2 linked regions of the Canis lupus familiaris genome follow. The protein of the gene in region 1 purifies or fractionates together with the protein of each later gene. This does not show direct contact. Links are inferred from orthologs where the notes say so. Each region holds a gene or a part of one and is shown in the gene's direction. Other genes may lie near its edges.

What was found.
Region 2: the proteins of CPSF3 (region 1) and CSTF2 purify together in Homo sapiens (affinity purification with mass spectrometry; 3 studies listed by BioGRID and IntAct, with this or other methods). This does not show direct contact. The link is inferred for Canis lupus familiaris from reciprocal best matches to the Homo sapiens genes CPSF3 and CSTF2.

Annotation. Positions count from the first base shown.
Region 1 is NC_049238.1:6,561,399-6,565,220, forward strand, and holds part of CPSF3 (cleavage and polyadenylation specificity factor subunit 3), read left to right. Parts: intron 1-186; coding exon 187-362; intron 363-1,380; coding exon 1,381-1,539; intron 1,540-2,649; coding exon 2,650-2,796; intron 2,797-3,822. UniProt on the Homo sapiens protein: Component of the cleavage and polyadenylation specificity factor (CPSF) complex that plays a key role in pre-mRNA 3'-end formation, recognizing the AAUAAA signal sequence and interacting with poly(A) polymerase and other factors to bring about cleavage and poly(A) addition.
Region 2 is NC_049260.1:75,175,371-75,179,192, forward strand, and holds part of CSTF2 (cleavage stimulation factor subunit 2), read left to right. Parts: intron 1-14; coding exon 15-74; intron 75-254; coding exon 255-341; intron 342-721; coding exon 722-863; intron 864-1,827; coding exon 1,828-2,003; intron 2,004-2,545; coding exon 2,546-2,838; intron 2,839-3,822. UniProt on the Homo sapiens protein: One of the multiple factors required for polyadenylation and 3'-end cleavage of mammalian pre-mRNAs. This subunit is directly involved in the binding to pre-mRNAs.

The DNA of each region.
Region 1 (3,822 bases):
ATTGTGAGATAGAGAAATATGTATATATGTGGCTGTGTGTATACGTACTGTTTTATATATACATAGTCACATGCTTTATTTCTTGGTTGTCTGAATTTCTTAAAATCAGTTACATGTATCATTTATTATTTGAACTATTTACCCCACATCACAAAACGAAATTTGTTTCTTATAAAATCTCTCTAGATGAGTATTGGCAGAACCACCCAGAACTCCATGATATCCCCATATACTACGCATCGTCTTTGGCCAAGAAGTGCATGGCGGTGTACCAGACATATGTAAATGCCATGAATGACAAAATCCGCAAACAGATCAACATCAATAATCCCTTTGTTTTCAAGCACATTAGTAACCTCAAGGTGAGTGCCGAGGAAGGAAGCTGACGGACCCGTAAACACAGAGTCCATAGTGCTCTTAGCTGCCTGCCATTGATTTGGGGCCAGTCCTTCTTGCTGAGGTCTCACTGTTTCTCTAGCAGGCACCATTTTTCTGCCTGAAAACAAAAATCTGGTAACTGGCATACTTTTCTGCTGAAACAGATTTCACCACTTGTTCCAACTCTCCATACATTCTCAGTATTTACGCTTGCTGATTTAGTTGGGTCTCTCTGCCATAGGAACAGGAAGTCCTGATGAAAAAAAATCTTACATCACATATTAAGTTTTTCTATTCTTGCTCAGACCTAATCATCTTTCTGATTTGCCTTGCAAATTCCACGTATGAAAATTTTCATATGTTTACTTTTGTAGAACATTCAATACAGTCTGATTTCCTTTTGTTAAAAAATAGTTTTAACAGAAGTATTGTTTTATTAAAACTAATGCTTTAATCTTAATAAATAATGCCTCCAAATAATTCAAGCTATAAGTCCTCTTCCAGTTATAAATGGGCTTTGTTTATTATTATTTTCTAAATTAGTTGCTTAAGAATTAGAGCCAGATTTTCCCTAGAAACAATGTTAAACTTTTTTGGTTAGATTTTTAAGTAGCTTAAAATATTCATGAAGTATGCAAGGCTATTGTGAGCAGGAGAATTCTTTTAGAGTTCTATCTTGGACAGATAGGAAGCCATTTGACTCTTACTTTTTCCTGCCTGCCTAGCAATAAAAATGGTCCTAATAGTCCATTAATTCTGGTAGAAGGTTTAAAAGGTCAGCGTGAGCTAATTGCCTTCTATCACTTTGTTCTCCTTTCATTCCTAGCCTAAATTGTTTAGGAACTTAGATATCAGACTTAAAATGTTTATCACTAGTCTTGAGGCCCTTTCAGTAGTGTGATTAATCTTTTCACCTAGCTTTTTGTTATTCTTTAAAAACAAGGAATGCCTTGCCAAACCCTGGTACTTAGCATTCCTCTACCATTCCTTTTTCTCTCTTAGAGCATGGATCATTTTGATGACATTGGTCCCAGCGTCGTGATGGCCTCCCCGGGCATGATGCAGAGTGGCTTATCCAGAGAGCTCTTTGAAAGCTGGTGCACAGATAAGAGGAACGGCGTCATTATAGCAGGGTACTGTGTGGAAGGGACACTTGCCAAGGTCAGCCATGGTCTTAGACCACCATGTTATTCCTAATCAGAATTGCCAAGGTGGCTCAGTGAAGCCTAAGGATCACCCATCTGGTCGCAGTAAAAACTATGGAAAGGAACCCGTTTGAGACCAATACAAAAACACAGACAACCCTCATTCACAGAAGAAGTTTGCAAATATGTGTTCTCTTGAAAAGTCACATGTGTCTGGGTTGATTGCCTATCTTCTTGTTGATACAAAACGGTTGATGTTAACTCTTGAGGACATTTCCTACAAATTGCAGGAAATAGGTGCTGAGCTCCAGAAGCAGTTTCTGAGCATCTAATCATCACATCCTCTTATCTCTTCTTTCTAGAACTTGTCTTATTTTTTTAAATACGTTATGATTCCCCATTTTTTTTACTACTTTAGTGTATTCTCTAAGTCACACAGGCAACCTTGGCTGTGATTTAAAATAGATTTCCAGGGATCCCTGGGTGGCGCAGCGGTTTGGCGCCTGCCTTTGGCCCAGGGCGCGATCCTGGAGACCCGGGATCGAATCCCACGTCAGGCTCCCGGTGCATGGAGCCTGCTTCTCCCTCTGCCTGTGTCTCTGCCTCTCTCTCTCTCTCTGTGACTATCATAAATAAATAAATAAATAAATAAATAAATAAATAAATAAATAAATAATAAAAAATAAATAATAAATAAATAAATAAATAAATAAATAAATAAATAAATAATAAATAAATAAATAAATAAATAAATAAATAAATAAATAAATAAATAATAGATTTCCAGAATAGAAGCACATCTGTCTGAAAGCGACTTTCTAGAACAGGAGAATAGCTGGGAATACAAGTTTGCCTTTCTGGTCATAAGTTACAGTTGCCACTTCCTATGTTCCAAATACATTGAATTTTAGCTAACCTGCTTACCTTCCTGATAAAATATTTGCTTGACCAAGAACTTAAGTATTTGATATTTACTGAGTCCATTGTTAAAACGCTTTGTGTGCTAACAGTCCCGAATTTAACGTAAAAGTTTTTGGCTGCAGTAACAAATAGAAAATGTGCCTTTTCTCTTCTAATTGGGTAGTTTATTTGTTTTGTTTCTTTTATTTTTGTTTCTGTTTAACAGCATATCATGTCTGAGCCAGAAGAGATCACTACCATGTCTGGACAGAAGCTACCACTGAAAATGTCTGTTGATTACATTTCTTTCTCTGCTCACACAGATTACCAGCAAACCAGTGAATTTATTCGTGCTTTGAAACCGCCTCATGTGGTTAGTCTATGAATTTGATTTATGACATTAAAGGGGAAGAAAACATACCCAAGAGACTGTAGCCGATTTGGTTTTCAAATCAAACGCTGCCTGTCATTAGGGTAGCTCTTCCCCAGGGGCCACTGCCTGCACCTGGACCTGACCTTTGCAGCTCCCTGCTGAGTTAGGAAGGTGTGCGCTCTGCTTGTCTCCACTTACCTGGGGTCCCTCATCAGCTCCCCCAACCCCAACTCAGGGCTCTTTCTGTCATTTTTTGCTGCCTCCCCAATAACTTAAGACCACAGGCTTTGCTGGTGACTGTTTTGAATCCCAGTTCCATCCCTCACTTGCTGGGTAACCCTGGGCAAGTTACTTAACTTCTCCCTGCCCTATTTGTAAAAAGGGATAATAATGCCTCATAAGGCAGCTGTGAGAAAGGGATGAGAGAACATATATCTAAAGCATGTAATATGGTGCCTGGCATAGAGTAAATGCTCAATAATAGGGAAAGAAGAGAAAGACAAATCACATAATAGTAAAAATCAAAGATCCAAATAGATCTGAAATCACATAGCTCCTTACTGATGTGTTTTGTTTATATTTTTTAAGTTTTATGTAATAACAAAAATAAGTTACATTTTGGTGAGGTTGGAGAGGGGATAAGAGAAGAAAGCTAGAAAAAAAAATAGGTATTTTTAATCAACAGAACACTCAGGGAACAAGGGTGTAGGGGGGGGAAGCAGATGGAGTGCCCTTTCTGAATGTATTAAAAAGGATGTTTAGAGGAAATAGCCTTTTGCTGGTTTTTTCATTGTGGGAAAATATATATAATATATAAGTTGCCATATATAAGTTCTATGGAAGAAGCATAGAATTCTGTGGCATGAATCACATCCACAGTGTTGTGCACCATCACACCACCTATTCCCAGATTTTTTTTATCGCACCAAGCAGAAACTGTACCTATTAAGCAAAATATCCAATAGCATGTTACCTTCTACATTCAGGGTTCCTCTATACCATAGCATGTATCAGAACTCCCTTCCC
Region 2 (3,822 bases), on another chromosome or scaffold:
TACTGCTCACCTAGGAACCCTACAGCACTCGCCCGTGGGACCCGCCGGGCCTGCATCAATTGAGCGAGTTCAAGGTACCCATTGTATCTACGGGTTTCCTTTTGCTTATGGTGTTCAGGGTGGGACGTTGAGAGGACAAGGGCTGCTTGGCAGTCATCCTCACGTTCAAAACCCAAAAGGGTAGTGTTTTGGGCTTTTGTTTTTAAATTTTTTCCTGTTGGGGCCACAAGCCTAAGATTGACCTCTTCACACAGGGCAGAGAACATGGATGATATGGGCATCTGTCCGAGGCTGTACTCCCTCCCTACTGGTGTCAGGAGGCTTGGATGGAATAGCAGTCTGTAAGGAGACAGCAGGTTCTTGCAGAGCCATGGCAGTGTTCACAAATGCCAAGACCCTACCTCTCTTTTGTGACTCTGGTCCTTGAACTAAGGTTGATTATATAAGGAAAACCAGGAGCATAAGTTTCTACAGGTTGAAGTGCTAGTCCTTGGCAGGTTGCCCCCCACTTTGCTCTTTATATAATTCCATCCATACCTCTGACATGGCACAGATTCTGCCTACACCCTGCTTCTGTTCTTGAGCTGCAAGAGGAGTCTGCTGTGGTGAGGTTTCACCCACTCTCAGGTGTCTGAATTATGTTGTCAGTGGTATATAGAGTCATTTCTTGTTTCCTCATGTGTCCTTCACAACAGTAACTCCCTGTTTGTTTCCCTGTCAGTGCCGATGCAGGACCCCAGAGCAGCTATGCAGCGTGGGCCCTTGCCTGCCAACGTCCCAACCCCTCGAGGTTTACTAGGAGATGCTCCAAATGACCCACGTGGAGGCACTTTACTCTCTGTAACTGGAGAGGTAGAGCCTAGGTAAGCACTAACATAGAAAGGAAAGATTGAGGGAATCTTTCTCGATTTGAGAACACAGTCTTTCTGTACCTATTTGCCTACTTCAAAAGGTAAGTAAATATTCACGGCCGCTGTCCAAGGCTAAGCACTTCTCCTTGGACAGAACTATGTAGTTGATTATGTCATTTTGAATGAACCATGGCTACTCCATCTTTAGAAATTTGAAATTCTCAGGTGCCTGGGTGGCTTAGTCAAGTGTCTGCCTTCGGCTCAGGTCATGATCCCAGGATCCTGGGATTGAGTGCCGCATCGAGCTTCCTGCTCCGTGTGGAGCCTGCTTCTCCCTCTCCCTCTGCCTGCCATTCTGCCTGCTTGTGCTCTCTCTTTCTCTGTCAAATAAATAAATAAAATCTTTAAAAAAAAGAAATTGGAAATTCTAACACATATCTAAACAGGAAAATCTTCTTGCTTATCAGTAGTAGTAATAATAATAACAATAATATAATGATGATTGATATTAATGAGGATTATGCCTCTGACTACTGTGAGTACTTAGATTATTTCATTAAATCCACATTGACAGTAATATCAGTCCTATTTTACAGATAAACTGAGGCATAGAGAAGTCAAATAAATGTGCTCAAGATTACACAGCTAATAAGTGATAAAGCTTAGATTTGAACCCATACAGTAACCCGTGTTCTTAAGCACTGTACTCCATATTCATTCTGTACAATGGATGTCCATAACCTCCTCCTTAATTATGAGTGCCCTGACCAAATATAAAATTCCAGGATATACAGGTTTATTTATCCATAGCTGTTGTTTTGTTTTGTTTTGTTTTTTACCTATTTGGTGTTAATCCTCTTAGCATTTGTAACTAATGTTAGCATCAGTTCTTTGATTTTTTTTTCTTACTGATCTCCTGGTTGACACTTTTTTTGTTGTTCTATTTTAAAATATAACTTTTTTTCTCCATCTCTAGAGGTTACTTGGGACCGCCTCATCAGGGTCCACCCATGCACCATGTCCCTGGCCATGACAACCGTGGCCCACCCCCACATGAGATGAGGGGAGGACCATTAACTGAGCCCAGACCTCTAATGGCCGAGCCAAGAGGACCCATGCTAGATCAGAGGGGTCCACCCTTGGATGGCAGAGGTAAGGGGAGACCACATCACAAGGCTGACTGCTGGTTGTGGGCTGATAATAAACCCAGCTATCTTAGGTTCTAATCTTGGATAAAAGAAGGCTAGGGCAATGGGGTTGACAAACATTTTTAAGATTTATCTGTAAAACTGAGACAGAAAGCAGTCCCTGAACAACACATTTGAACTACGCAGGTCGATTTATACATATTTTTTTTATAAATACAGTACAGTACTATAAAGGTATTTTCTCTTTTTTACAATTTTCTTAATAACATTCTCTTTCCTCTAGCTTATTTTGTTGTAAGAATGCAGAACATAATATACAAAACACGTATCAATCAACTGTTTATGTTTTTGGTAAGGCTTACCATCAGCAGTAGGTTGTTAATAGTTAACTTTTGGGGGAGTACTCCAATCCTTGCCTTGTAAAAGGGTCATCTGTAGTTGGGGGGAGATGTGACTGGAGAAATAAATTTCTATCTTTGACTATTGGTTCTTTTTGCCATAAAGATGAGTAGTTACACAGTGGTTTTCTTACAACTTTCTTTATAGGCGGTAGAGATCCCCGAGGCATAGATGCACGAGGGATGGAGGCACGAGCCATGGAGGCTAGAGGATTAGATGCCAGAGGATTGGAGGCTCGAGCAATGGAAGCCCGTGCGATGGAGGCCCGTGCAATGGAGGCCCGTGCAATGGAGGCCCGTGCAATGGAAGTCAGAGGGATAGAGGCCAGAAGTATGGATGCAAGGGGCCCAGTCCCTGGCCCTAGAGGCCCTATGCCTAGTGGAATCCAGGGTCCCAGTCCAATTAACATGGGGGCAGTTGGCCCCCAGGGATCCAGACAGGTATGTGCAATACTTCTTGCTTCTATATGAAATCTTGATCTATTCAGGAATTAACTATTGAAGCTGACTGTTACTGCTTTCCGACTTGGACTATTTCTCAGCTTGTTAAAACAGGAAGATTAGAAACTCCCTTCCTCTAGTTTCACTGTCCCTTAAGATGGTTATTTTCTGGCCACCATTGTAGCAGCTTTGTCCTACCATTTAAGGAACTCTTCCATTCAGAGCAGAGCACCCACAGATTTAGGAGGCAGCGTGTGTATCACTAGAATCTAGGCATGGATATTTGAAAAAACCTCCCCCAGGTGATTCTAATGTACAACCGTAAGAGCTGCATTAGAGCATGTGAAGAGCTGTTAGTAGTCATTTCGATAATCTTAGGTTTGCAGAAACCTATTTTAATTTGCTTTCATCACACAGCCTAAGTGGACAGTGGAATATGAAAGGCAGTTTTTACTAATGTTCACCTTAAAACCTGTGGAACTGAATTCTTATCTCTTCTTTCTTCTTATCTGGCTCTCTCTAGCTATGTGTATGTATATGGTGATCTCTGATTATCTGTGTGTTGTTATCTCCTCCCTCTTCAAACACAATTGGTTGTGGGGAGATGGTATGTGAGTGTCTTCCCTGAATTTTTACGTGCTGGCACCTTCAGCTCCCTCTTGCCCCTGCCAACCTTCCTTTTTCTGTATGTCTTCCTCCTTCCTCTACCATATGTTATGTGTCTTGGTCCTGTGTGTGTGTGTGTGTGTGTGTGTGTGTGTGTGTGTGTGTAAGGGTGGGGGGAGAGTGTCACTGGAATGGAATATGTCAGTCATCCAGTTCTCTCATTTCATAGGTTTGGAAACTGAGATCCAAGAATTCAGCTGACTTGTCCAAATTCACACAACTAAAAAGTGACAGAGCAAGGACTAGAACCCGCTATTTTTTTTCACTGTACCACTCTGTCCTGTTAGCTGCACATTATGTATGTGTATGTGTGTGTCT